Linked DNA regions of Elephas maximus indicus. The protein of the gene in region 3 interacts with the protein of the main gene of each other region in a biochemical or structural test. Links are inferred from orthologs where the notes say so. Each region holds a gene or a part of one and is shown on either strand. Other genes may lie near its edges. The genes, in order: proto-oncogene Mas, SLC6A3, SNTA1 and ADRB1.

Region 1 (6,322 bases), on a different chromosome or scaffold from region 3:
TGAAATCTTCCTGCTAATTTTTGTAGTCTGTGGAATATGTCCCAAGGATAGCTGAGGAGGGACTGAGTTATTTGATAGGTACAGCAATGATAGGTGCCTGACATGTACCTGGGCATTTCCAGAAGATACAGGGCAAGAGTACAATCTCATCGTTAATTAGTATCTCATGTACATGGAATGGGTGTTCTGTCTCATATTGAAACCCATAAACCAGTTGCCGTCAATTCGACTCTGACTCATGGAGACCCTGTGTGTGTCAGAGTAGAACCATGTTTCATAGTGTTTTCAATGACTGGTTTTTTGGAAGTAGATTGCCAGGCCTTTCCTCCAAGGCACTCCTAGGTGGACATGAACCTCAACCTCCAATGGTTAGCAGTGGAGCCCCTTAGCCATTTGCACCCCAGGGTCTCAGTCTCATATTTAGGAGACACAGAAATTGTATTCCAAGCACAAACTAAAAATTGTCTATGTACCCCTAGTTTGTCCACGATTTCCCTCCAGAGCCCTCAGACAATGGTCTCAACAGTGATGGTATTACCATTGTCTTCCTGGCGCCTTGGTTGCATTTCATCTTTGAAAGCCCGGGTGAGAACCACTTTTAAGGACTCCTTGAACCGCTTCTTCTTACTGCTGCCCACAAAGAAGTAAATAAAAGGGTTGGCGCTGCTATTGATGGTGGAGAAGAGAAGAGAAATGTGGTGCAGAGTCCCCAACGTTGACCAATACTCATAGTAGAGCAGGTAAAGGAGTCTTATGGGCATGGCGAAAATAAGGAATACAATGATGGTAACCAGGATGACCAGGTACAGCTTCGAGGAGAGGGAAGTCCTTGTGTTCTTTCGGATCTTAACTACCAAGATTATGCTGGATACCACCATGAGTGGAGTGAAGACCAGGAAGCTCAGAATGGCAATGAAGATGATCACCGCCCTGCAGTTGCTTCGAGGGTGGCCCTGCCCTCCACTGTCGATACACATGACGTATTCCATGGTGGTCACTAAGCAAGAAAGTGCCCACAGGAGGGCACACACGAATGCCGACTGGTGTTTGGGGCGGTGGCACCGGTACCAGATGGGGTACAGGACCAAAAGGCACCTCTCCACACTAATGGCTGCCAGCAGATAGAGGCCTGTGTTGTAGCCGAACAGAAAGGTCACCGATAAAGTGACAATTGTGTAGTAATAGCCAGAAGAAAGCTCATAATCAAGAGCATAGTCAACAGACAGAATAAAAATACAAAACAGCAATGAAATGTCTGCGATCGACAAGTGGGTGATGTAAACCGTGAAGGGGTTTCTTCTCACCCGGAAGCAGAGGAACCAGAGGAGAAGTCCGTTCTCCACAAACCCCAGCGGGGAGATGCTCATGATGACCCAGTGCATAACTGGGATTTCCTGGTGCGGAGGCCTCGTGGAGGTGTTCTGGCTCGTGGAGGCGTTCATGGCCTCCTCAGCCACAAATGATGTTACGTTTGATCCATCCATGAGGGAGTGCAGGCTGGGCTCTTCAGGTAATTTTCTGTAACCAAGTACAAATATATATATCATGAAAATTGGTGAACTGGAGCAAAAGGCTGAATTTTAGTTATGGGTCATAATCTTTATGTTATAAAAGGATTTTTAATAGTCTATACAATTCTCTTTCTAACAGCAAAATTCAACATTTTGTGAAGTGAGAGAATAGATTTAATGATTTTTGATCCCCAAGCCAAAAAATCCATTGCTGTCAAGTTAATTCCGACTCATAGCAAACCTATAGGACAGGGTAGAGCTGTCCCATAGGGTTTCCAAGGCTGTAAATTTTTACAGAAGCAGACTGCCACATCTTTCTCCCATGGAGTGGCTGGTGGGTTCGAACCACTGACCTTTTGGTTAGCAGCTGAGCACTTAACCACTGCACCACCAGAGCTCCTTTTTGATCCCTGAGAGCCCTTAATTCTGTATTATCTGTGCCCCAAAGCACACAGCATGGCAAGAGCATTCAAATTCCTGATGCCCATTTCCAGCTCTGCCCGAGCCTTCTGAATGGCTTTTTGAAAAATCATTACATCTTCTGTGCGTCCATTTCCTCACCTGAGGGACCCAGTTAATGGCACTGGAATGCAATGAAAAATTACATGCTTGGGCAATGTTGCTGTTGCCACTTTTTTAATACATAAAGTGCTGTATGCAATGGGTAATTGAGAGGGCATGCCTGGTAAAGTTCTGTTTAACAGTGCATCAGTATTTTTTGAAGTGCAAACAATGAAAAGGCATTTGTCGTATATGGTCTCAGCAAAGCTGGGCACCTACTCAGATGAGGTACGCCATGCAAACCAGTGCTCTCTGTGGAACAGATGGTAGCACTAACGAGGTGTATTTATGGCTCCACATACCATAGAGAGACCATCCAAGAAAACACTATTGACACAGATATTAATCAAACTACTGACGGGAAGCTGATAAAAATACTAAATATTTGAGGCTGCAAAGCAAAAATTTTCAGAAACTTTGCCTCGCTCTTTAGTCATTGCAAAACAAATAGCTGCAACAACCCGCCCTGCTGTCATGACACAAATACGCCTCACCCACTTCCCACCGTGGGTGAAAGGAAAAAGGAGGTAGCCAGCAGGGATCACCACCCTGGCACCAAGTCTAACTAGTTATCCTTGCTTTTTGAATGCTGCTCTTGCAGACCAGGGCCCCTTCATGTGCAAAATAATTAACCTTTCTGAAGCTGATCAAAAATTGATTAAATTAGTTGATATCTGCCTCCTCCTCATAAGCTCACTTGAAGCAGATACAGGGTATGGATGCTCTATGTTGTGGAGCTTGATAATATTAGACGTTTCCAGAAATGAATCAGCAGATCCCCAGCATTTGCAGGGCTCTGAGTTTCTTCTGAGGACAGCTGTGCCTGGATTACCAGTGGGCCTTCCCGTCAGTGAACTGGGTAGTTATCTCCCCTGTGGCAAGATTCCAGGAACCGGGGAACATCCCTGCTGACGCCATCTTAATCCCACTCTTTCCCACCGATGCTTTCCTCAGCTGCTCTGGCAGGGTGCTAAAGATTATCTTCAATGGGCCAAATCTCCTTTCATTTTGCAATCAGAGAGAAGATGCACACCACAAACACCCTTAGGAACACAGGATAAGGACCAGAATTCACAAGACCAGAGCATGGCTGACCAAGACCTGTTGTAGAAACAAGCTTTGTTCCAAGTTTGTAGGTAAGACTGTGTTGTTCCCAGAAGGGAGCTTCCCCCAACCCAATTCATCCATCAAATGCTTATTGAGTTTATTACGTATTTGCTGACTTCATGTCAGGTACTGTTCTAAGCACCTAGGATACAGCAGTGGGTGAAACAGACAAACCCCAACCTCTTGAAGTTTATATTCTAATGGGGAGACAATCAGTCATAAACAACAAAAACAGCAACAACACGTGAATACATATGTAAATAATCTGTGCTGGGGAGATAAGCAAAGCACACTGACCATGGTGGTTGTGATCAGATTGGACTCTGGGGGAACAAGGGCAGAAGGAAGGAGGCCAGATCCAGACGGAGAGCTGATGGCGGCCTGGACCAAGGTGCAGTGGTGGAGGCAGTAAGACCTGGTTTGGTTCTGGATATCATTTGATTTGCTGATGGTCTAAGTCATTGGAATAAGTGTTAAGACAATAAAATGAATAAGACACAGTGTTCTGCATAGCTTTGCAAGGGGCAGACAAACATGTTGTCAACCAAATCTAATTCAACAGAATAAGTGGAAGACAAGAGACCTGATTAAGTGTTGGGCAAGCACACAGCAGAATGCTGTGTATCAGGAGTTCAAGAAGGGCTAATAAGGCTGGGCCTTGAAGGGTCAAGAGGAGTTTGTTAGTTGAGGAAGGGAAAGAAAGGTAATTAAAAAAAGAGAACAGCATGGACAAAGGCATGCGGGCAGGAGGGTACAGAGTGTTCTTGGTGGAATTTGAGGAGTCTGGTCAACCTTTAAAAGCCCTAGTGGCACACTGGTTAAAGTGCTTGGCTGCTAAACAAAAGGTCAGTGGTTAAAACCCACCAGCCACCCCATGGAAGAAAGATGTGGCGGTCTGCTTCCATAAAGATTTATAGCCTTGGAAACCCTATGAGGCACTTCTACTCTGTCCTGTAGAGTTGCTATGCATCAGAATCAACTCGACAGCAGTGAGTTTGGGTGGGTTTTGGTCAACCTTTGGGTGAAGGTCTGATTTATAAGGAAATGAACAGCTAGAAGGAAGCACAAAAGGCTAGTTTCAATGCTTCTTAAGTGTCAGTCCTATTCTAAAGGCTATTGCTTACCCAATGGTGGTGCTTAAAAATCACATGGGGTGCTGATTAAAAAAGTAAACTCCAGGACATTCCTGTTTCAGGAAGTCTGAGATGGGGCCCTCGACTCTGAAAAATCGGAGTCTAGGGGATTCTAATGCATGTGGGTCACGAGCCACAGTGTAAGAAATGTGCCATTTGTAATCAAGCCATTAAAAGGCTTGACGCAGGCTGGGATATGACCTGAACTGTGCTTTAGAAACGTTTCTCGGGGGTAGTCTGAAGGCTAGGCGGAAGGGGCAACAAATGGGGCAAAGGAACCAGAGTGGGTTGTTGCAACAGTCCTGGTGAGAAGTAATAATTAGGATAGTGGTTGAAGGAGTGAAAGGAGAAAACGGCTTCCAGAGACATTCCAGAGAAGCCAGCTCAGGCCTGCCTGATTGTGAGGGGTGAGGGGGAGACAGAGATTTCCATCTAATGAGGCTGTGGAGACAAACTACTAAGGACCAAGATTAGGGACAGGAGGAGCAGCCAGCAGGGGATTTAGAGGGCTCAGAGCTTGGCTCAGGGAGCATTGAGCGTGAGGTGTTAGAAGAACATCAGTTAGGGCAGATTCCAGCTGTGTTTGCCTTTGTATTCCCTGTTCTCGAGTGCCTAACTGTTTTTATTTACTTACTTTGTTGTTGTTCTTGAGAATATACCCAAAACCAAACCCAAAAGCCAAACATGTTGCCTTCGAGTCAATTCCAACTCATAGGTACCCTATAGAGCAGAGTAGAACTTCTCCATAGGGTTTCCAAGGAGTGGCTGGTGGATTTGAACTACCAACCTTTTGGTTAGCAGCCGAGCTTTTAGCCACTGCGCCCTCAGGGCTCCAATACACAGGGAAACATACATCAATTCAGCCGTTCTACATGGACATGTCAGTGACACTGATTACATTCTTCGAGTCGCGCGACCATTCTCATTCTTCTTTTCTGAGTTGTTCCTCAGAAACTCACTGCCCCCTGAGGTTCCCGTCTTTGTTATCTATGTTTCTATAATAGAAATACCACAAGTGAGTGGCTTTAACAAACAGAAATCTATTTTCTCACAGTTCAGGCGGCCGGAAGCCGGGATTCAGGGCGCCAGCTCCAGGGCAAGGTCAAAGGTGTAGCGAGGGTAATGCGCTCTAGCTGTGGTACGTCCGCAGACATGCCTGCGCCCTCGGCGGCCTCAGTCAGGCACCTTTCATATTTATGGCGCCTGGCAATGTCATGCCACGCTTCATCTGGTCCCCCCACGCCCCCCTCTGTCCGCCCCCTCACTACGCCTCTGGGTGTTCCTTGACGTGCAGCTGGAGCATCTCTGTCCCCCTATCTCTGTGGATCTTCTCTTTATAAGGGCACCAGTCATATAGGACCAGAACCCACCCTACTCCAATATGGCCCTATGCTGACCTAACTGATAACATCTTCAAAGACCCTATTTCCAAATGAGGTCACATTCCTGAGGACCAGGGGTTATGACTTCAACATATCTTTTGTGGGGGGGGGTGGGGGGGGAAGTAATTCAATCCAAGGAACCTTAGTGGCACAGTGGTTAAGCCCCCACTGCTAACCTAAAGGTTCTTGGTTCAAAACCACCAGCCACTCTGAGGGAGAAAGATTGGGCAGTCTGCTACTGTAAAATTTTACAGCCTTGGAAATCCTATGGAGCAGTTCTACTCTGTCCTGTAGGGTCACTATGAGCCGGAAACGACTCGACGGCAGCGGGTTCAGGTTTTTAATTCAATCCATAACAAGGATTTTTGGATGAACTGGACTCCCTGTTCCCCGGAGGCTCACCTAGGGCAGCAAGGTTCACTGGGGCGTTTCTAAACACCACCTGGTGGCCTCCTCATGCTGAACGTGACTGTGGAAGTAAGACCTTAAATGTTTCATTTTGGGTTTTTCCCCTCAGGTGACACCAAACTTAATCACTGAAAGAAAACTCCACCTCCAGGTGCTGCCCCCTCTGGTGGAGGCAGGGATTAGAGGAGATTTGCTGGATGGTGTTGACCCCCAGTTTAGA
Region 2 (7,583 bases), on a different chromosome or scaffold from region 3:
CTCTTCTGAAACCCCTCATTGCATAGCACAAAGTAGTCAGTACATTGTGGAGGTGCGGAAGGGCCAATAAAGACTTGTGGAAATGACCACCAATTTAATTGGCTTCTCAGCTTGAAGGTTTTGGGTGGCCCTGCCGTTATTTTAATTTTCTGATTCAAGTCCAGAAACAGACATGATTGTGTGGCTAGTTGAGTTCAGGAAATGATGGGGGAAAGGAGTGGAAATGGGCACATTTCCAGGGGCATCTCCTGTTGCTTTGAACCCCTCACCCTTTGTCTTCTACCCAGTCTCTTTGCTTGCTTCTTCCTCATTGTCTTCCTCTCTCTGTCTACCCAAAGCCCAGATGATGACTGGGTTAGAGAGTGGGAGAGAAAACACTTCTACCTCCTGATCCAAGTTCAAGGGCCTCCAAATGCTTTGCAAATACATGTATGCAACCAACAATACCAATCTTTGGGCCTTTGAGAATTCTCTTCCCAAAGTGAAAACAACTGCTGGACCTAGGAAGCAGGGCCCAGGTGCCTCTAGCTACTTCCTCCAAGTTCCTTCTTTCCTGGCCTTGAGTTCCTCAAATGCAAAACTCAGAGATGGAGCCAGATTGCTTTGAGCTCGTATTCTATAATTTTGCAAAATCCATCTGGGATACTAAGCCAGTACTCATCACCGCCCAAGAGGACACTATTTTCTTATCAGTGCTTACCCATACTGCCTCTAGCTGCCCCTTGGGCCCTCCAGTATAGCAGCAGCATACGGCAGGGCTGAGATGGGACTTACCACCACCATTTTTGTAGCAAAGGTAGGGAAACCGCCAGACGTTGGCCAAGTCCACTGCGAAGCCAATCACAGAGAGGAGAAAGTCGATTTTCTTGCCCCAGGTCTCCCGCTCTTGGGGCTCTACAGGGGTTTGGGCTGGGTTGATGAGGGTGGAGTTTGTGAGCTGCACTCCATTTTGCTCCTTGACCAGAATAAGCTCCATCTCCTTCGGGCCCATGGCATTGGGCTCCTTAGCTGGAGCCACCATGGAAGACATCAGTCCAATTGAGCATTTGGTTTTACTCATGGGCAGACTTGGAATCTGGAAATTCTACGATTCTTCCCTCTTGGTCTTCAGCCCACATAAAAAATGAACACACACAGGAATGCAATTATTCAACAGATCAAGACTATGTATGTGCCTCCTTTCAAGAGGAGAGATCGTATGCATTGCCGTTCATCGTCTTAGGGGTGGAACAGGTGTGTTCCCAGAACCTAAGCACAGCCCAGGTTCAGAATGGTCAGAGGCTGGATCAAAGAGAAGGCCTAGGGAGCCGAGGTAAGGAGGTTCTGTTGGTGGGGTTAGGGGAGGGAAAGCCGGTAGGGAGCTCAGGACAGCTTGGCTTTGCTCCCTCTTTCCCCATGCACCTCTCTTCTTCCTTATCAAAGTGCCATGTTTATGTAATCTCTAATTATGCAGTCCAATAATAACATGAAGATGTTACCCCCACCTCGGGCTCCCGCACATTTCCAGGAAGTGATTTTACAATCTTCAAATACCATTCAAGAGCAAATCTTAAAAACAGTCTGCATATGTATTCTTTACATTCAGTAATAAAATTAAGAGTAAACTGTGTATCATGGAAAGCAGCCACAGTAATTGACGTTTAAAAAATAACTATGAGAACAGTTTAAGGAATGCCTGTACCATCCACGTTCACCTGTGGCCCTGGGAGACTTCATGGATTCCGCCCAAGAAAGTTGCAGAGATGAACAGAGCACATTAAATTTTACATGAGAAACGGGACAAACTGGTCTACTTATCCACTTTACCAGGGAAGTCCTTTTCAAACTGCTTTCATAAAAGTTTTGAGTAATGAAGCAAAGAGGACTAGGGGAATTTACACATACACTGCCACAGCCAAGGGCGAGGTGGCCCCTCACAGCCCGAGAGCAACTTCAGAGAGGGTTTTTCTTGGGGTGGGGGAGACAGTATTTGGATCCAACAGCAGTGTTTCAGTTGCACACACCCACACTGTCCAGTGCCCGCATATGTAGGCAGAGAACAGCATCGCAGAAGCTGGAGTGCCACCATTTTTCTCTGCATCCAAGTCTGTGCAAACACTCACGACCTAAGTTATTTTATTCTCCAGTCTTCAGTGGCCTCTTCACTTCCCAGTGACAAACCTAACAGTCCATTCCTCAGACTTGGAAAAAACGCGTGGAGGAGGGTGCCTAGGCTTTGGGGCGTGGACCGCAATGGGTTTTACCTTGGGACAGAGTGGGAAGCTATTCAGAGTGCAAGACCCAGGTGATCAGATCCTGGACCCCCTCCCCACGTCTCAGAACCCCACCCCACGCTCAACAGTTAGAGAAAACCAGAGCCCACTCCTGAGCCCTCGGCCTCAGAGACGATGTTTGGGGTATAGGAAGCAAAAGGTGGGTCTCTTATAAAGCGTCTTTCCTCACGGCCCCCAAGACAAGAAGCCGCTTGCTGAGAAATGGTCATTCGCCCCCGTCCTTCCCTGCACCAGCGACCCGCACAGCCCTGCAACTCTCCGCTTGAGGTCTTGAAAATCAAAGACAAAAACACCTCCTTCCAATGCTCCCGGATCGGATCTCAGGGGCCGCGTTATGTGTTTAGAAGAAAGGACCCAGATCAGCTCACCTTCACGTTGTCTATTTCGGTAAAGGGGGAATAGGGATACGAAGCCGCAGCCACAAACACCCGCGCGCCCCGAGTTTCCGCCACAGGACTGGCGCGAGGGAAGCGCACAGAGATCCCAGTGCTTCCGCCCTGCCCGCGGCGCCCGGGCCAGGCGCTTCGCGGGGGAGGGGGGGGCCGGGGCCACCCCGGGGCCACCGACCGTCTCCAGGTCGCCATCGCACTGAGGGCGCCCGGCGCGCCCTCGGCCCGGTCCTTACCTGCCCGCCCGACGGCTCCTCGTCGGCCCGCCTGACTGTGCGCAGGTCCCGGCCGCAGCGTCCACGCAGGCTCGGCTCTGGTTCAGCGCTGGGCACCGCGGCCGGCTCTTATGTGGCGCTGGGCGCCCCGCCTGCCAGCCTCGCCTCTGCCCGCCCCGCCCCGCGCCCCCCGCGCCCCAGGAGGCGGTGCCGCGGCTCTCGGCCCGAGGTCGTGCGCGTCACCTCGGGCCGGGGTGTTGCGGGGCCGAGCTCGGCCGGGTTCCCAGCGGGAACAGCCTGGGTCAACTCCCACCCCGGCCACACCTCCCGCAGCTGCCCGGTGGCCTCTTGCTGCTCTTGGGGCTCCTGGAGACCGCCACTTGGCCTCAGCGACGCCGGAGGAGCAGGCACCTGCGGGGAAGGAGCTGGCGGGAGGGTGCGCGGAGCCCCAGATCTCACCGAACACTCCCCCAGACCCCGGAGACCTCCGCGGCCACCTCTCCCGACCCCTCTCGCGGAGTCCCAGCACCGAGCAGTGGGCGACCGCGGGGCGGGGCTCCCTGGTCCGCGGAGGGTATCCACCTCGCTTCCCCAGGCCGGACCGGAGCTGAGCTCGTCAGCACCTTAGCCGGGGTCTCCTCCTTCCCTCCTCGGGCTGCGCGCCCAGATGGCCAGTTGTCCCCTTGCCCGCCCTGGAGCCGCCCAGGCTTGAGCTACCCAGTCGCGAATCCTTCTGTGGCCCCCAGCGCGGGCCTTGCTCGGAGTCCGGTTCCTCGGCGGCGTCGTCGGGGCAAGGGAGCTGAAGTCTCCGCTGAGTGGTGCTGACCTGCCCTTTGCCAGCATCCAGCGCTCATCGATTGGAAGCAAGTGGCTCCAGTTATCACGCATTGGAAAACGATTTTCCCAGATGCGCGGGCCTGGTGTGCTCTGAAAGCCGCAGGCGGTCGATCCGTGGCTCTGATCTACGTGGACCCAAAGTCTCCTTCTCAAAAATGTTCCCAGGCAAGATTTGACACTCAGTACTTGGGATTTTTTATTTTTTTTTTACTTGGGGGACTGGAGCCCTGGGTCCATTAAGGGAGGTCCAGGAGCCCAGGTGCAGAGAAGGCACGTTGGTGAGCAGCCCCGACCTGGCTGTGCACATCCTGTCCAGGATAACCCAAACCCCTGCATCAGCCTTGCTCCAGATCGTCTCTTTGCTGGGCACACTATACAGGCATACCTCGTTTCATTGCACTTTGAAGATAATGTGCTTTTTACAAATTGAAGGTTTGTGGCAACCTTGTGTTAAGCAAGTCTATCAGTGCCATTTTGCAACAGCGTGTGCTCACTTCACATCTCTGTGTCACGTTTTGGTAGTTTGTGAAGTATTTCAAAAATTTCATTATTATTATATCTGTTACGGTGATCTTTGATCAGTCATCTTTGATGTTACTATTGTCATTGTTTTGGGGTACCACAAACTGCACCCATATAAGACAGCAAACTTAATGGATAAGTGTTGTGTGTTTCTGACTACTCCACTGATTGGCTTTTCCCCACCTCTCCCCCTCTCCTCGGGCCTCCCTACTCCCTGAGACATGACAATATTGAAATTAGGCCAATTAATAACCCTACAGTGGCCTCTAAGTGTGCAAGTGAAGGGAAGAATTGCATGTCTACCACTTAAAACCAAAAGCTAGAAATGATTATGCTTGGTGAGGAAGGGATGTTGAAAGTTGAGACAGGCCAAAAGCTAGGCCTCTTGCACCAGTTAAGCATTTCGGGAAAGCAAAGGAAAAGTTCTTGAAGGAAATTAAAAGTGCCACTCCAGTGGACACACGAATGATAAGAAAGCAAAACAGCCTTATTGCTGATATGGAGAAAGTTTTAGGTCTGGATAGAAGATGGGACCAGCCACAACATTCCCTTAAACCAAAGCCTAATCCAGGGCAAGGCCCTAACTCTCCTCAATCTATGAAGGCTGAGAGAGGTGAGGTAGCTGCAGAAGAAAAGTCTGAGGCTAGCAGAGGTTGGTTCATGAGGTTTAAGGAAAGAAGCTGCCTCTATGACATGAAAGTACACAGTGAAGCAGCAGATGCTGATGTAGGAGCTGCAGCAAGTTATTCAGAAGAGCCAGCTGAGATGATCGGTGAGCTGGCTACACTGAACCACAGACTTCAAGGCGGGCGAAACAGCCTTATACTGGAGGGAAACGCCATCCTGGACTTCCAGAGCTGCAGAGGAGTCCATGCCTGGCTTCAGAGCTTCAAGGGACAGGCTGACTCTCTAGTTAGGGACTAATGTAGAAGCCAATGCTCGATTACTGTTCTGAAAATCCTAGGGCCCTTAAGAATTACGCTAAATCTATTCCGCTTGTGCTCCATAAATGGAACAACAAAACCTTGAAGACAGCACATCTGTTTACAACATGGCTTACTGAATATTTTAAGCCCACTGTTGAGATCAACTGCTCAGAAAAAAAAAAAAAAGATTCCTTTCAAAATATTAATGCTGATTGAAAATGCACCTGGTCACCCAAGAGCTTTGATGGAGATGTGTAAGAAGATTAATGTTGTTTTCATCACTGCTAACACATCCGTTCCACAGCCCACGGATGAAGCAGTAATTTTGACTTTCAAGTCTTATTATTTAGGAACTACATTTCCTAAGGCTATTGCTGCTGTAGATAGTGATTCCTCTGATGGATCTGGGCAAAGTAAGTTGAAAACCTTCTGGAAAGGATTCACCATTTGTCTTAGTCATCTAGTGCTGCTATAACAGAAATACTACAGGTGGATGGCTTTAACAAAGAGAAGTTTATTTTGACACAGCCTAGTAGGCTACGAGTCCAAATTCAGGGCACCAGCTCCAGGGGAAAGCTTCCTCTCTCTGTTGGCTCCAGAGGAAGGTCCCTGTGATGCATCAGTCTTCCCTTGGTCTGGGAGCATCTCAGCGCAGGAACTTCAGGTCCAAAGGATGTGGCTCTGCTCCTGGCACTGCTTTCTTGGTGGTATGAGGTTTCCCTGTCTCTCTGCTTGCTTCTCTCCTTTATATCTCAAAAGAGATTGCCTTAAGACACTACCTAATCTCATCAATATAACTGCCACTAATCCATCCCGTTACATCGTAGGGTAAGATTTACAACACTTAGGGAAATTTCATCAAATGACAAAATAGTAGACAATCATACAGTACTGGGAATCATGACCTAGCCAAGTTGACAGATATTTTTGGGGGACACAATTCAATCCATGACACCACTCTAAATGCCATTAAGAACATTCGTGATTCATGGGAGGAGGTCAAAATATGAACATTAACAGGAGTTTGGAAGAAGTTGATTCCAACCTTCATGGATGGCTTTGAGGGGTTCAAGACTTCCATGAAGGAAATAACTGCAGATGTGGTGGAAATAGCAAGAAAACTGGAATTAGAAGTAGAGCCTGAAGGTGTGACTGAATTGCTGGAAACTCATGATAAAACTTTAACGGATCAAGAGTTCCTTCTTGTGGATAGGAAACCCTAGTGGTGTAGTGGTTAAGAGCTACAGCTGCTACCAAAAGGTCAGTAGTTCGAATCAATCAGGCAACTCTATGGGGCAGTTCTTCTCTGTCCTGTAGGGTCACTATGAGTTGGAATTGACTCGACAACAATGGGCTTCTTATGGATAAGCAAAGAAAATGGCTTCTTGGGATGGAATCTACTCATGGTGAAGATGATGTGAACATCGTTGAAACAACAACAAAGGGTTTAGAATATTAAATACACTTAGTTGTAAAGCAATGGTGGGATTTGAGAGGATTGACTTCAATTTTGAGAGAAGTTCTACTGTGGGTAAAATGCTATCGAACAGCATCACATGCTACAGAGAAATCTTTCATGAAACGAAGAGTCAATTGATGCAGCAAACGTTGTTGTCTAATTTTAAGAAATTGTCATAGCCACCCCAACCTTCAGCAACCAGCACCCTGATCAGTCAGCAGCCATCAACATGGAGGCAAGATCCTCCACCAGCGAAAAGATTATGACTTGCTGAAGGCTCAGATGATGGTTAGTATTTTTTAGCAAGAAAGTGTTTTTTAATTAAGGTATGTGTGTTGTTTTTTAGACACGATACTATTGCACACTTAATAGACTGTAGTATAAACCAAACTTTTAAATACCCTGAGAAACCAAAAAAAAAAAAAATTGTATGACTTGCTTTATTGCGATATTCACTTTATTGCACTGGTCTGGAACCAAATCCACGATCTCTCTGAGATATGCCTGTAATGGGGTGCCCACCCGAGTCCTAGGCTCACTACGCCTGTCTTGGCCACACATGCCCCTGCTCAGCAGTGTTCCCTCCCCTTGGTACACAGGACCTCAGAGCCCTGGCTCCCCACATTCCCATTTCCTCCACCGTGGGGCCCCTCCGGCTCGGACCTAGAGGCTAATCTCCTCATTCTGCCCATCCCCACCGCTCCTGAGGACTGGACTGGTACAAAGCGAAGTCTGAGAAACCACTGAGAAAGCTCTCAGGAACAGTTCTTCTAAGCTTCATTAGGATCAGGGGAGAGGAATGGTGACCAGGAAGGTGTTGGGGACCTCAGGGAGCCCCCTAGGATCTGATGTGCCAAGCACCATCACACAAGGCCTTTTTTTCCAAACATGTCTCAACAAAGCAGATTTAAAAAAAAAAAAAAAAAAAATGTAACTAGATGATGCAGCCCTTATTAACAGAC
Region 3 (6,939 bases):
AATGCTCGTTTAAAATAAATAGTAGTAATGGCTCACATTAGTTCACAGTACCACATGCCAGGCACTGTGCTAAATCGTTTAAATGTCATCTCGGCACATCTTCACAACAGCCCTATCACACAGGCACCCTCAATTTGCTCTTAGGAAAACTGAGGTATGGAGAGTAGCCCTTTGCTTTAGTTCACCCAGCTAGTAAGTGGCAGAGCCAGGATTTGAACCCAGGTCTGCTGGCTCTAGATCCAACATTCTTAACCCTATAGTAGACTGTATGCTGGGTTCTCAGGTATCACACTCCTGGTCCATCCCCAGAGTTTTGAAAATGAGGAACTAGTGGCCCAAAGAAAGAAAAACCAAACCCATTGCCACTGAGTCAATTCTGACTCATAGCAACCCTAAGGACAGAGTAGACCTGCCCCACAGTGTTCCCAAGGAGCAGCTGGTAGATTCGAACTGCCAACCTTTTGCGTAGCAGCCGAGCTCTTAACCATTGTGCCACCAGGGCTCTGGCTCAAAGAAAGGAGGTCCTTATTCCAAACACAAAACAAGTTGGTGGCAGACCTGGGACTGGAACGCTTCTCCACCCTCCACACAAGCCCAAGAGTTTACCTGTCAAACTGCTCAGACTGAGGTCTAGGAGAGGAAGGGCTTTCTATCTTTGCTGCCATCTCTGACCTGGGAACCCTGGTGGTATAGTGGTTAAGAACTATAGCTGCTAACTAAAAGGTTGGTAGTTCAAATCTACTAGGTGTTTCTTGGAAACTCTATTGGGTGGTTCTACCCTGTCCTATAGGGTCACTGTGAGTTGGACTTGAACAAAACTGGTGTTTTTTTTTTTTTTGGCGGGGGGCGCCTCTCTGACCTGAAACTAGGGATTTTAATCCAGTTTGAAGCCATGATCATTCCTGGCTGCCTGCAGCTGCACTGGACCCTAGAAGGGCAGTCACCATGGCAACCACAGGAATTAGATGGAACTAGTACTTACCCTGAGCCTCCTAAAAGTACCCTCCTACCCACCCGGAAGCATGGAACTAGGGAGTAACTGTATGTGACCTTAGAAAGCCTCTGTTCTTCTCTGGGTCTTGGTTTGTCCATCTGAGAAATGGAACTCTATATAAACTCTAAGTTCCTTCCTTCTCTGACACACTGAGTGTACAATTTTTGGATTGGCCCACTTGCCCTATGCCATGCTGGGATTTGGGGGCAAAGCTAGTGCCTGCTCCCTGGCTTCCCCACTCCCTTCTTTTAGACACCCACTGTTGGGTGCCTGGGGACTTACCCTTCCACAGGAAAGAAACAATGCTAATGGGCACTCCCTACGTGGAGCAGGAGGCAGGGGGATGGTAGCCTCATAACTGAGGTTTAAATCTCAGCTATTCACTGTGTGACCCTGGGAAAATCGCTTCACCTTCTGAGTCTCAGTTTCCTCACCTGCAAAATGGGGGTTATACTCCCTTCCCTTCATCACTGTTGTCAGGATGTAGTAGATCCTGAGCCTACAGTACCTGGCACTCAATGGTGGCATTCACCTCCATCCTCATACCCACACCCAGGCCAAAGGGTCTGAAGGCACCAATGAACAGAGAGGACAGTACACATTCAGGTGATACGGGGGCTGGAACCCTAAGAAACAGACAGGCAGGAATGGTGAGCACAGCAGCTGAAGGTATGCAGGGATTATTTTAAGCAGTATGGTTAGTTGTTTCTGGAGTCTCTTCTGGCCTCCATTTTTCCTCTCATCTAACAGCAGTAACTAACCAAGCACCTACTATGTGCTGCCATGGTGAACACTTTAGACATCTGGTGTCAAAGAAACATCACAACCCTATCATTATCCTCATTATACAGTTGAGAAAACTGAGGTCCAGAGATGGGAAGTGACTTGTCTAAGTTCACACAGCAGATCCTGGACTCAAATGGAATCTGGTTGAGCCCCAAAGAAGGCTGTCAGTATTGGGGGCTGGGAGCTCACAGAGGAGCAGCAACTCTGGGTCTGCCCCTGTCAATCCTGTGCAAGGTGGGGAGGGTCGGATCAGGATTCAAGCCCAGAGGTCAGGGCCCCCTGGCTAGGTGCACAGCCTTCCTCAGATTTCTAGGTCCATTGTGGTGCCCTGTTTGTGACTGAAGCCTGTGTTTCCACCGTCTGCTCTCTGCCCCCGTCCTTCCCAGACCCCATGCCCTGCCCCCACTTGGTGATGTCTCAGGGACTCCCCCTCACCACCCCAGTAGTGTCCGAGGCCTCGCCTTTCTCCACCCTCTGCTCTCCAGCTGCCCCTCTTGTCCTTGGTGCCCATGCTAGTTGCCCTCCTCAGGTCCCTATGTCTCCACACAGAACTCCCCACCCACATGTCCTTGGTGCGCTCCTAGCCCTCTCTGACACCTGAGACCTCCGGTCCTTGACGACCCCCCCTGCACTGTCAGGGGCTCCCCTGCATTGTCAGGGGCTCTAAGTGTCCGACCTTGGTGCTCCGCATGCCCCGGGTTCCCTCAGCTCCCTCAGATTCCCCATTCCCTCAGACTGAAGGCCTCCAAATCCATGTCCTCAGTGAGCCGCCAGCTTCCACGACCCCTGCGCCTCCGGCGGCCCCACAGACACCACGACCCTGTGCCCTCTGTGCCACCGCGCCCACCTTTGATGCTGATACCCAGCCCACCGGCGTCGGCCTTGCGCACTGTCACGCGGCGCCGCTGGAGCAGGAGCCCCTCGGGCAGTTGCGGGGGCGCCGCGCCCGGCTCAGCGGCGCCGTTGAGCTGCGCGGGCTCCGGCTCCCGCGGGGCGCCGGGATCGGGGCCGGGCTCGCCGTCGGCGGGGCTCACGGTCAGAGCGTCCTCCGCCAGGCTGAGCAGCACCGGCTGCCACCGCTCGCCGCCGGCCCCCGAGCCTGCCCCGGCGCGCAGCTCCAGCAGCCCGGTGCGCGGCGCGCGCCTGCCTGCCGCCATTTTCGCCTCCGGGGCCCCCGGCCGCCGCGCTCGCCCGGCCCCGCCGTGCCGGCCCGCTCCGACCGAGCGCCCAGGGCACAGGGCAGCGGGGCCCGGCTGGGCCAGCCGCCACGCTAGCCCGGCCGCCGCGGGTAGCGCCTCAGGGGCGGGGCGATCTGCGGGCGTGGCCGCAGCTGGGGCGGGGCGACCTGTGGGGCGTGGCCCGCAGCTGGGGGGGTGGTCTGTGGGCGTGACTCGAAGTTGGGGCGGGGAGGTCTGTGGGCGGGGCCTGCGGCTAGGGGCGGGGCCCCATGCGGCCCGCGGGAGGCCGGGGCGGGGCGAAGCAGTGTGGGACCCACTGGGCAGCCGGCCCGCGAGGGAGGCGAGGAGCCGGCGAGGTGCGGGTGTCCCGGCGGGCCATGCAGGGGGCGGGGTTCATGGCGGGGACGGGGCCCTTGGTTCCAGTGGAGGAGACTCCGCGCTGCTCAAGGCCGTCGAAGGCCCGGATCGTCGCTCACAAAGGTGGGCGCACAAGAACGCGGGCAACAGCACGGGTCCTCGGGCGAGGCTGTGGGCGTCGGGGCAGGGCTGCGTAGGGCGGAGCGCCGGACTCCAGTTCAGGGCTTGATTTTAAGAGGTGAACGCCGATCCAAGAGGGTCTTTGCAGTTGGGGCTGCTGCTGGGGTAGCTTGGACAGGGCTGGTTTCCCGTTTGGGTTGGGGGTGGGTGGGAGTTGTATGTGGGCGTGGCTTAGTGTGGCGTGTGACTTCTAGAGCCCCGCCCATGGGATAAGCGCGAAACAGCCGTATTTAGGGCTTGGCGAGAGGGTGAACACGCTTCACGCTTTGAAACTGGAGGCGAGTTTCAGAGGTTAACCCTCTTGACTGAGTACGTCGAGCCCCAGTGAAGCCTGAAGTCTTGCACTTTGAAGTCTGGCGGGAGGAGAACCCAGGACTTTTGGCTGGACTATGGGTGTGGGCTCTTGGTTTTCTGTTCCAGCTCAGATACTCTGTTGGCTCCATGTCAACCTTAGTCGAGTCACTTCACTTCTCTGAACCTTAGTTTCCTCATCTGTGAAATGGCCAGACTCAAGCCTTGTGTAAGGATCAAATTGATGTGAAAACACATTGTGGGCTGTGAATTACTGTGCTATCAATATAACCACTTTCGTTTATCGAATGCTGTCTATTGGCCAGGCCTAGCACTGAGAATTTTTCATGTGTTATCTTTACAGTAGCCTCATGGAGTAGCTACTGTTAGGAATACCCCCTATTATACCAAAGCTGTTGCGCTCAAGTCCATTCCGACTCATAATGACCCTATAGGACAGAGTAGAAGTGCCCCATAGAGCTTCCGAGGAGCACCTGGTGGATTTGAACTGCTGACCTTGTGGTTAGCAGCCATAGCTCTTAACCACTGTGCCACCAGTGTTTCCACCCCATATTATACAGAAGGGAAAACTTGGATTTAGATGGTAAAATTGGCCTAGGCCACATGTTTTATGTGGGGCAGAGCTGTCTGACCCCAGTGCATCCTTATCAGAAAAGCCCTGCCTCTGCCCCAATCTGCCCTCAGGTCTATCCCCTGTCTCCATCCTCCCCCCTAGGGATGTGTTGGGCAATAAATAGGTAGGGCCACATCAGTATGTACATTTTCTGAGCCTTTTGGTTAGATGTCTCCACATAAGATGCCATCATGAAGAAAAAACTCAGAAGAAAATTGGTACATATATAAGATTGTCCACAGCAGCCTTAGGTTGGCAAATAACTAGACAAACCCAAGTGTCCAACATTAGTGGAGTGGGTCTATGCCACTGAAAATCCACTGAGACCACATATAAAACATATGTATATTATGCGCATGTACATGTAATATATAAATGCAAGTTATTCAATGTTTGTATCTTAGGCTAGGTTCTCTAGAGAAGCAAAACCAGCGAAGCATCTATAGATATATAGAGAGCAGAAAATTTATATCAAGGAAATGGCTCTCACAGTTGTAAAGCCTGGAAACTCCAGGGTCCATGGATCAGGCTGGAGGCTTTTCCAGCTGCTGGTGCTGTCGAACACAAACTTGGCAGTTCATACAACAGGCCTCTGGCTCACAGGCTGCAGAGGCCGACAAATGCTGAGATCGGCAGGTAAGGTGCTAGTTCAGGTCCCAAGAACTGAAGGTCAGATGAACAGGAGCAAGCTGCAGGTTCCAGAGTGAGCGAAAGCTCACCAGCCGTGCCAGAAAGTCCAGCTGTATTGGATGCAGGCCACACTCCCAAGGAAACTCCATTTCAACTGATTGGCTGCTCACAGTAGAGCCCATCATGGAGGTGATCACATATCGGAGCTCATCATGGAGGTGATACGTCGTCACATAACTGCCAAACTGCATCATAACTGCCAAACTGCATCATAACTGCCAAACTGCATCATAACTGCCAAACCACTGAGAATCATGGCCCAGCCAAGTTGATGCAGAACCTTAACAATCACATTTTGCTATATGTTGGTACATGAGCTGGCTGATTTAGATACATTCTGTCATTTAAACCTCATATAAATCTTGCACAGGCTATGTATTATCCCCATTTTATAGATGGGAAAATTGAGGCACACGGCTAGTAAGTATAGACCTCTACTCTAAGCCAGGACTGTCTGACTTCCAAGCCCATATCCCTCCTTCTCCTTTCTGCAGCCCACATAGCAGCAAGGGGTGAGTTTAAAATTCATTCATTCATTCAACAAATATTTATTGGACATCCTTTATGTGCCAGACATAGTGCAAAGTTATAAACAAGACAGTTGGAGCCTCACCTTATAGAACATATAATCCACTAGGAATCAGGATCCTATAGTGGTTAAGACCATGGGCTTTGGATTCGGACTTCCTGAGTTCAAATTCTCATTGTGCCATTTCCTGTCTGTGTGACCCTGGATATGTTATTTAACCCCTGAGTTTTCATATCGTGATCTATAAAATGGGGATATTAAAGGTACTATCTCTTGGAATTACTAAGAGGAATAAATAATGCTGCTAAACTGCTTAGCACAATTCCTGTACATAGTAAGCATTCCAAAAATATGAGGTGCAGTTATCTTGGGAAATAGACATCAATGAAATAGCCTTACTTTCGGGGGAAACATGCATGACGAAGAGACAGACACACACACAAAAAGAACCCAGGGTCTGGCATATATGTGACATGCAATAAATATATAGAAGAAAGAAAAGCAGAAAAGGGGAACGAAGAAAAGGAGGAGGGAGGGGAGAGAGAGGAAGAAAGAAAGAGAATATAGCATTGTATATCATTGTTGAAGTATGACTGTGCTAAAGATTGGAGAGCAGCCTGAGAAATGTGAGGATAAGCAGTTGTGATAAATGAGAAGTGTATCCTACTTTTGGAAACTTTACCGGTAAAGAAGAGAGAAAAGGCATCAGGCGGAAGGCAAGAGGCTGGGGGAGGTGAGCTTACTTTCCCAGGACCAAAGCCTTGAGCCAGGTCCTTAAAAGTCCCCCCACGTACTGCCCTGCTTAAAAAAGAATTAATGAGCCCCAGACAAACTTGGTGGGAAAGAGGCTTGATACAGTTCCTCCCCTGGGGTGCTGTATTCTGTGGCTACAATGGGAAGGGAGGAAGAAGAGGGATGGTGTGTGTAGAATAAGAGAAAACTAGCAGTGAAGGAAGAGTGGTGCAGAGCCAGCAAAAACACTGTTGTGTGCATGTGTGTTTGTGTATATGTGTATGTGTGTATTTTGTGTATATGTATGTATATGTTTATGAGTATGTACATGCGTTTGTGTGTGTGTGAATTCTTGATCACAGAGCTGAGGCAGGAGCAATCAGCTGTACCCTTGGCAGCTACCCCCAGGATCCGTGTAGTTGGAGGAATGTTCCGCTCATCCACTGCGGTCAGTTGATGCCTCCCTGCTGTGGCTCAGACTGGCCTCCCAACACACACGTGCACACACACAAACACACACGCTCTCTCTCTCTCTCTCTCTCCTGGCTCTCCACATAACCCCAGGCAG
Region 4 (7,917 bases), on a different chromosome or scaffold from region 3:
GGCAAGTCTGCAGCTCTCAGGAGGTGCTCGCCTTTTTTTTTTTTTTGTCTTTTTGGTCTACAGACATTTTTGAGTCATGAAAAGCTTTTAGAAGGGCTATCTTGGAAATCCCATCTGTATTTTGAGCAAAACAAGCTGTCCTTTCCATTATCACTGACCCTTTACAAACACACATACATAACCTTGATTGTGCTTCACTGGCATTTATTGCACGTGAACCAACTCCTCACACAGTAGTTAGTTGCACCAGAGTATAAATACTTGGTAAAACACACAAGAGGAAATAGAATTTACACACGAGTGCTAAATTTTACCAGCAGATTCATGGGGACACTTGGACATAAAAAAAAAAAAAACCTTCAAATAATTATATTTATAATATGGATACAGTTACAGTACCATGATAAAAGAGTATAAAAAGGTATTTTCCCAGTAAATCGCTAGCTCAAATAACAATAGACAACAGAAGAAGAGTTCGAATTTTATTTTAGTTTTTAAGACACTTCCCCACCCCATAAAAACATTTCATTTCTTTTTGTGCAAGTAACATCTGTGGACTTCAAAATTTCTAACACTGTGCAAAAATGGCATTTTGAGCCACTCTCTTTTTTGTTTGTTTTTACCCAAATGTGCAGTTATCTGTTTTGATACTAGAATTGTTTCCTTTTTTGAAAAGTTTTCTGTCCCGTCTTCAAGGGACAGAGTCACATGTCACAAAGGCTCAGTGCCTGGTCCTTCAAACTAATATTGATACATAAATAAACTGTTTAATATAAACAAGGCTTTGCATCTTGCTGTGCAATATGCACAGTGTGAGGTAGAACGCCCTCAGCTTGACCACCGAGGCGCGCGGGGCGGGCGGGGGCAGCCAGTCAGCCCTGCGAAAGCTAAGCAAGGTGAGGCTTGTTCTAAGAATAGCTGAAAATGGCTTGAAACACGATTTCTGCATCCATCCTTTCGCTTTGCTTTAAGAACAGGAGGAATCGTTACCCAGAAGTTAAAATGAAAACTGTCTGGAAAGCAAAAGGGAACACGCCCTGACAAGCTGTCCCCTACCCCGCCCCAGCTGAATGCTCCTGTTCCCCTGGAATGGGGTGGACGCCAACGAGATACTTTTATTCCCTAATGCTTCTCCCTTCCCCTATCCACCCAACTTTCACTCTGGTCCTTGTCGAAAAGTGTCAAAAAACCACGTGGAGGGGGAAAACAAAAATCTAAAGATGCATTACCCGCACACACAGAAGAAGGCCAACCACAAACATCAAAGAACTCCAGCAAAACCCGCAAGCCACTCTCCCATCCCTCCCCAAACTTTCCTTTTCGTGCAACGGTGCGTGGCTTTTCTTTTTGTCTTGGCTGATTCAGACGAGGTTTGTGGGCGTCGCATTCACCTGCTTTCGGTCTTGAGTAAACACAAGCTCTCCCCTTTCCCCTGGGAAGCCATTCCAGGGTGCCCGGGCGCTCCTCCTCCCCGGGACGCAGACTCCGCGTCCCAGGCCGGCAGCGTGGCGGGGCCCTGGCGTCCCGCAGCTCGCCCGGCCCTACACTTTGGATTCCGAGCCGGAGCCCCGGCGGGTCGGCTCGTCCAGGCTCGAGTCGCTGTCCGCCACCGCCCCGCCGTTGCAGCCGGCCCAGGGCTCCAGCAGGCTCGCGGGCGGTGGGGCCCCAACGTCGTCGTCGTCGTCGTCGTCGACCCCGGGCGACGGTGGCGGCCCGGCCACAGCCAGGCAGCCCGGGGCGCGCGGCCGGTCGCCGGGGGCCGCATGGCAGCCCCGGGCGTCCCGGCGCGCGTAGCAGAGCAGGCGCTGGAAGGCCTTGCGGAAGTCGGGGCTGCGGCAGTAGATGATGGGGTTGAAGGCCGAGTTGGCGTAGCCCAGCCAGTTGAAGAAGACGAAGAGGCGGTCGGGCACCAGGTCGCGGTGGAAGGCCTTCACCACGTTCGCTAGGAAGAAGGGCAGCCAGCAGAGCGTGAACACGCCCATGATGATGCCCAGGGTCTTGAGCGCCTTCTGCTCGCGGAGGGCCACGAGGCGCGAGGGCCGCCGCTTGCCAGCGCGGCCGTTGGCCACCGGGGCAGGGGCGCGCGGAGGGGTCGGAGAGGGCGCGGGCGAGGGCTGCCGCGCGGGGCCGCCGAGGAAGCGGCGCTCGCAGCTGTCGATCTTCTTCACCTGCTTCTGGGCCTCGCGGAACACCCGCAGGTACACGAAAGCCATGATGCACAGGGGCACGTAGAAGGAGACGACGGACGAGGCGATAGCGTAGGCCCGGTTGGTGACGAAGTCGCAGCACTTGGGGTCCTCATAGCAGCGGAGCGCCTCTTCGCCCTTGTCCCGCCACCAGTGCATGAGAATGGGCAGGAAGGATACCAGGGCCGAGATGGCCCACACGGTGCAGACGAGGACCCGCGCCCGCGCGCGGGTCAGCAGACTCTCATAGCGGAAGGGGGACGTGATGGCGAGGTAGCGGTCCAGGGCGATGACACACAGGGTCTCGATGCTGGCCGTCACACATAGCACGTCCACCGAGGTCCAAAGTTCGCAGAAGAAGGAGCCGTACTCCCAGCGGCCCCACACCACGATGGTGGCCCCGAACGGCACCACCAGCAGCCCCATGACCAGGTCGGCGCTGGCCAGGGACATGATGAAGAGGTTGGTGAGCGTCTGCAGCCGCGGCGTCTTGGCGATGGCCACGATCACCAGCACGTTGCCCGCCACGATGAGCAGCACGATGAGCGCCATCAGTAGGCCCATGCCGGCCGTCCACTGCTGCGACAGCGGCGCGGGGCCTTCGCTCACTGGGGGCACCAAAGAGGGGGAAGGCGATGCCGGCACCAGCAGTCTCGCGGCTGTGGCCGCGCCTTCGGGAAGCGGAGCAGCCGACGACAGGTTGCAGGGCTCGGAGGCGCCCAGGGCGAGCGCCCCCGCGCCCATGCCGAGCTGCGAAGGCCAGGGGCAGGGGGTGTGGCGGGGCTGGGTCGTGGTTGGAGAACACCCCAGAAGCCGCTGCAGCGGGGCGCTCCGAGGCAGGTCGCGGCCGGGTCAGGACAGTCGCGGTGCCGGACCTGAGGCATCGACGCCGGGCGCCTTCCCAGCCTGAGCCAAAGCCTAGCGCTGTCGCCGCCGCCGCCGCCGCCGCTGCTGCTGGAGCCGCTGCCGCTGCTGGAACAGCCGCCGGGACCTCAGCATGTTTCTGAGCGCGCCGGGCTCGCAGCTCCGGCACCCAGCACCCCCCACCCCCCTCCCACCCGGTCCAAGCCAACCCCCTGGGCGTCGCGTCAGGCTCCTGCAGCCTATCAGGGCCAAGGCACGCCCCTATCTTGTTCCCCCCCTCCCCAAGTCCCCGCACCTCCCTCTCACCCGCAATTAAGTGGCTTGGGGGAGCTGGGGGCAGAGCTCAGAGCGAGCGCCACCTCGGAGCCCACCGGTTCCTGCGCGCGCCCAGTCCTGCATCCCATTCTTCCAACGCCGGCTACCGCGCCGGGCTCCTTTCCGCGTCCCCGCCCCGTCCTGTGACCCCCCCCCCCGCCCACTGGCTTCTACGCTCCGTTCGCTTCTAAGCCCCTCTTGCCTACAGCGCCCGGCTCCCTCTTCCACATCCCGCTCTCTTCAACGCCTCCCCCAACTCTTCTGCACCCCCAGGCCCCCTGGCCTCCCCTCTACCTCCAGTGCCCGGTCTCCTGCAGAGCAGAGCGCGTGCTCCTTTTAGCCGGGAGGGGACCTCGGTGTTCTTGAAGCGCCAGAGCGCCTTAGACAGTCTGTCCGCTGAGGTTGGAGGAGTTTGGCAGCGAGATTGTTTCTTGATCGGGCAACCTAGCAGGGTGTGTGCAAAACCCTTCCCTCATCAAAAGGGGACCCAGCCAGCCTGCGTCCTGTCAGCTCGGGGGATTGGAGAGGGGTGTCAGTGGTTAGAGGAAACTTCCCAGCCGAGCGCGTGGCAGGAGCAAACCTCGCATCTGTCAGCAACGCTCTCGGGGCGCTGTTCTTGCAACCGGCTCCTGTTGTACCAGTGCAGTGGACGCAGAAAGGAGGCGGATGTTTGTGCATCCAACAGCTAACGCTGAGACCGAGTTGGAAAAACACACACTCCTCAGTCCCAAATAATGAATGTGTGAGTATGATGCAACCGTGTGTGTTTGTAATAAAAACAGAGAGATTTTTAGGAAACACAAATATTAACCTACAAAGTAAATGACATCGCCACGAAGAAAGGGCACATTTAATTACATTTCAGTCTTTTTACCTTCAGGGATAACACCTGTATTTTGTGTTTTATTACTTATATGGTTTTATAATTTGAGCTGGGTCAATACAAACAAAAAGGTCCTGCCAGTTTGGGTTGAAGGAATAAAAATACGATTTCAGACTTCTTGGTCTGCAGGGTTGTTTTCTCCTTTGCCCAAGTTTCCAGATTTCTCAAAACTCTGGGGTTAGTTTTGGAAGGATATGAAAAGAAAATACATAAATACTCAAGAGGTTTAAAATCTGAAAGCATTTAAAGATAGACCAGTGGCTTTTGAGTTGCTAGGGAATCGGTTTGAAATCAGTGAAATCTGCCCTTTGTGGGTGGATTATGTGGGGGGACTGATAGCATTGCCATCAACATCAGAGCGACAGCAAACCCTCTTCTCTAATTTGATCGACCATGGTAATGTCCTCAGCTCAGGCCTGAAAAATAAGAATGTTTCACTGCATCTTTGAGAAGTAAACCACTTTTAATTTTTTATGCAAGGGTATGTGAAAATGTTATATAATGCTCACACATCTTTCTAGCATTGGCATAAAAATAAATCAGCATCTGGAAGGAACATCAACTTCTGGACCAAATTTATATTCTTACCTTGTAGAGAGAGACTGACTTCCATAGCTACTCAGCTTAAGGGCAAAAAGCAATGCCTATTAAGTTTATAAAGTTAAGTAGTTTTAACTACCTTCTCTTACTTAAATCTAAGTATATAGAAATGCTTTAGGTCCAAACTTGGTATTCAGAGTGCTACAACTGGGGAGTGATTTATTTGTTTATTCGCCCCTCCCCTAGGACTTACCGGCCTACTTCTGCCAATTTGAGGAGGATGAGGAGAGAGAGCCAGGAAACAAGAGGGTCTAGAAAGAGTTGAGGCTGGAGAATGCATCCTTCTTTCAGGCCTTCAAGGGATAGTCTCAAAATAACCAGGGGATTAGAAAGAGTTGAAATTGATGCTGCCCAGAAAAGAGGTTCTGAGTGCCTGGCTGTGGGGTGGGGAATGTGGAGGAAAGGCGTTCTATCTGGCGCCATCTTTCTGTCAAGTGGTGTTACCAGAATAGAGTGTGGCAACCTTAAGTGCCCCTGAAGGGTGAAGGAAATACATTTCTGTGAGTAAAGGCAGAACTTGGTTGTAGAGGTACTTAAATCTAGTTTCTCCGAATTTCTGTATAAAAAAATACATTAAATCAGAAACATTCAAAACCGGAAGGGTATTCTAGCAGGAGTTCCCAAATAGGGCTATAAGCATAAAGGGGCGCCAGCTATTCTTGGGGCTTTCCTGCAGGCGTACTGACTGAGAAGTTTGGAAGAGTCCATGCTGAACTTGAATTAGCTTTGTTTTTAAAAGAAAATGTTCCCATATCTCCCTTAATTCCTCCATTTCATGACTTTTTGAGACATACTTTGGCTAATACTTTTAGTGTTTAGATGAGAATCCAAGATCAAGGGGAAAAGGTTCAACATATCAACTTACACAGATATTAAATGTTTTGGGGGTTGCAACTTCAAAATGAATAACTCCTCCATCCCTCCATCCTCCATCTACAATTGTTAAAATGAATCAGCTCTGAACCCACACATTGGACAATACTTTAGAAAATGACAGAGCTCCAGCAATGATGCTAATCAGCACACTTGAGAGGTAGTGTGCTTCTCTCTCAGTGTTTTCCACCCACACCTCTCCTGTTCCCATCTCACGTCCGTCACGCCACACCAGAACCTGCCACGGGCTCTATGTCATCTCCCTGCCTCTAGTCCGTCCCCTTGATTTGCTCTGGCATACCACAGTCGGGTTAATATTTCTAAAACAGGGCGTTGACCAACATGCTTTTCTGTTCAGAAACCTGAACTCTACTTGACATTCAATGTCCTCCACAGTCCAGTTCCAAATGGCCTTTCCAGAGTTCTCTCTCATTGGAACTGTCCATGTCACCTTAACCTGCAGTCCTTAACTCTTTCCTTTCTTGGCTCTCAACTCTTTCCCGCTGATTGCTTCCACCAAGAATCCCTTCCTCCTCTGTCTCACTAGATTCAGTTTTCAAGACCTGGCTGAAGTCTTATTTCTTTTATATTCTTCCCTGCCCCCTACTGCTGGAAACCTTGTGTCGTAGTGGTTAAATGCTACAGCTGCTAACCAAAAGGTCGGCAGTTCGAATCCACCTGATGCTCCTTGGAAACTCTATAGGGCAGTTCTGTTCTGTCCTATAGGGCTGCTAAGAAAGTTGACATGAAAGCAATGGGTTTGGTTTTTTTTTTTTTTGGTCCCTGACTGCGAGACATGGTCTCTCCTTCCTCTGACTTACTCTTCCAGTTGCCATTTAGGTGGCAATTAGCAATCTCTTGCCTTTTGATGCCTCTTATATTGTTATTTAATTTTTAAATGGGTTTTTCTCTTTATGCTTATAGCCCTGCTTGGGAACTCCTGCAAGAATACCCTTCTGGTTTTGAATGTTTCTAATTTAATGTATTTTTTTAAACAGAAATTCAGAGAAACTTAAGTACCTCTACAACCAAATTCTAGCTTTATCACTCACAGAAATGCATTTCCTTGTAGATTATAAGCTCGCCAAGAGCCAGGGCTGCCCTATACATTTTTATATCTTCCATGTTTATTAATATTTACCTAATATTAACACTTAGCATTGATTCATAAATATTTTATATTTTAATTATATTAAACCATTTCACATTTACTCATATGAGAAATAATCTAGTGTTTTGAGAGTTATAATTTTCACTCATGCTTATAATTTGTCATAATAAGTCAAATTTCTATAGCCTAGTCAGCATTTCCATGTAAACATTTCAAAACACCTTACAAATTCAAGGTAGGCTCATGAGATACCACACTGAGTAATGAATAAAGAAGTACATAGGCAAGAGGCTTTCCAAAGGGGCCCTGCAAGTTGCATAATAAAAAGTACTATCTTATTGGCTGCTAGCCAAATCAGCAGTTTGAACCTACCAGTGACTCCATGGGAGAAAGATGTGGCAGTCTGCTTCGGTAAAGATTATAGCCTAGGAAACCCTATGGGGCAGCTCTACTCTGTGCTGTTGAGTTGCTATGAGATGGAAGCGACTCAAAGACAGTGGGCTCATCATAATATATAGTCCTTGGGTGGGCAGTTAAGTGTTTGGCTACTGACTAAAAGTTTGGCTATTCAAATACACCCAGAGATGCCTCTGAAAAAAGGCCTCTTGATCTACTTCTGAAAGATCACAGCCGCTTTGAAACACATGAGGTCACCATGAGTTGGAATCAAGTCAACAGCACCAGGTACCGGCAAAGACATTTCCATTTTTGAGTTGATTTTGCTAGAACATAAGTTAAAAAAGAAAGGGGAGTAGACTGCCTCCACAGCTGGTGGAAGGTGGGCCCAGGGAAGTCCTGGGGAGGGACAGATTTCCAAGTAAAACATCAAGAAGCGTGGCCAAACAGTTGGCTAGCAAAAATTGTCTTGAAACTGATAATAGGTGGGGGAATTTATTAATCAGAGCTCAAGTGACTGTTTCAGAGAGAAGACATATCTCTCTTCACATGAGAAACACAACTGCTAAAACAGTCATTTAGTGCTAAGTAATCAAAGAACAGCTTGCGCCCGTGGCTGCGATTTAAGGTCATATGTTGGTTTTACAACCACAGTTTACACAGGGACAAGCCACTCCATCCACGGTGAT

The links.
Region 1: the proteins of SNTA1 (region 3) and proto-oncogene Mas interact in a test that uses a peptide from one of them, tested with the Homo sapiens proteins (2 studies listed by BioGRID and IntAct). The link is inferred for Elephas maximus indicus from reciprocal best matches to the Homo sapiens genes SNTA1 and MAS1.
Region 2: the proteins of SNTA1 (region 3) and SLC6A3 interact in a test that uses a peptide from one of them, tested with the Homo sapiens proteins (2 studies listed by BioGRID and IntAct). The link is inferred for Elephas maximus indicus from reciprocal best matches to the Homo sapiens genes SNTA1 and SLC6A3.
Region 4: the proteins of SNTA1 (region 3) and ADRB1 interact in a test that uses a peptide from one of them, tested with the Homo sapiens proteins (2 studies listed by BioGRID and IntAct). The link is inferred for Elephas maximus indicus from reciprocal best matches to the Homo sapiens genes SNTA1 and ADRB1.

The regions. Positions count from the first base shown.
Region 1 is NC_064819.1:232,290,564-232,296,885, reverse strand, and holds proto-oncogene Mas, read right to left. Parts: upstream 1,485-6,322; coding exon 507-1,484; downstream 1-506. UniProt on the Homo sapiens protein: Receptor for angiotensin 1-7. Acts specifically as a functional antagonist of AGTR1 (angiotensin-2 type 1 receptor), although it up-regulates AGTR1 receptor levels.
Region 2 is NC_064820.1:12,234,912-12,242,494, reverse strand, and holds the start of SLC6A3 (sodium-dependent dopamine transporter), read right to left. Parts: upstream 3,038-7,583; 5' UTR 2,899-3,037; intron 1,106-2,898; 5' UTR 1,061-1,105; coding exon 775-1,060; intron 1-774. UniProt on the Homo sapiens protein: Mediates sodium- and chloride-dependent transport of dopamine. Also mediates sodium- and chloride-dependent transport of norepinephrine (also known as noradrenaline). Regulator of light-dependent retinal hyaloid vessel regression, downstream of OPN5 signaling.
Region 3 is NC_064843.1:36,114,085-36,121,023, reverse strand, and holds the start of SNTA1 (alpha-1-syntrophin), read right to left. Parts: upstream 3,050-6,939; 5' UTR 2,938-3,049; coding exon 2,628-2,937; intron 1-2,627. UniProt on the Homo sapiens protein: Adapter protein that binds to and probably organizes the subcellular localization of a variety of membrane proteins. May link various receptors to the actin cytoskeleton and the extracellular matrix via the dystrophin glycoprotein complex.
Region 4 is NC_064834.1:64,997,277-65,005,193, reverse strand, and holds ADRB1 (beta-1 adrenergic receptor), read right to left. Parts: upstream 3,034-7,917; 5' UTR 2,931-3,033; coding exon 1,542-2,930; 3' UTR 170-1,541; downstream 1-169. UniProt on the Homo sapiens protein: Beta-adrenergic receptors mediate the catecholamine-induced activation of adenylate cyclase through the action of G proteins. This receptor binds epinephrine and norepinephrine with approximately equal affinity.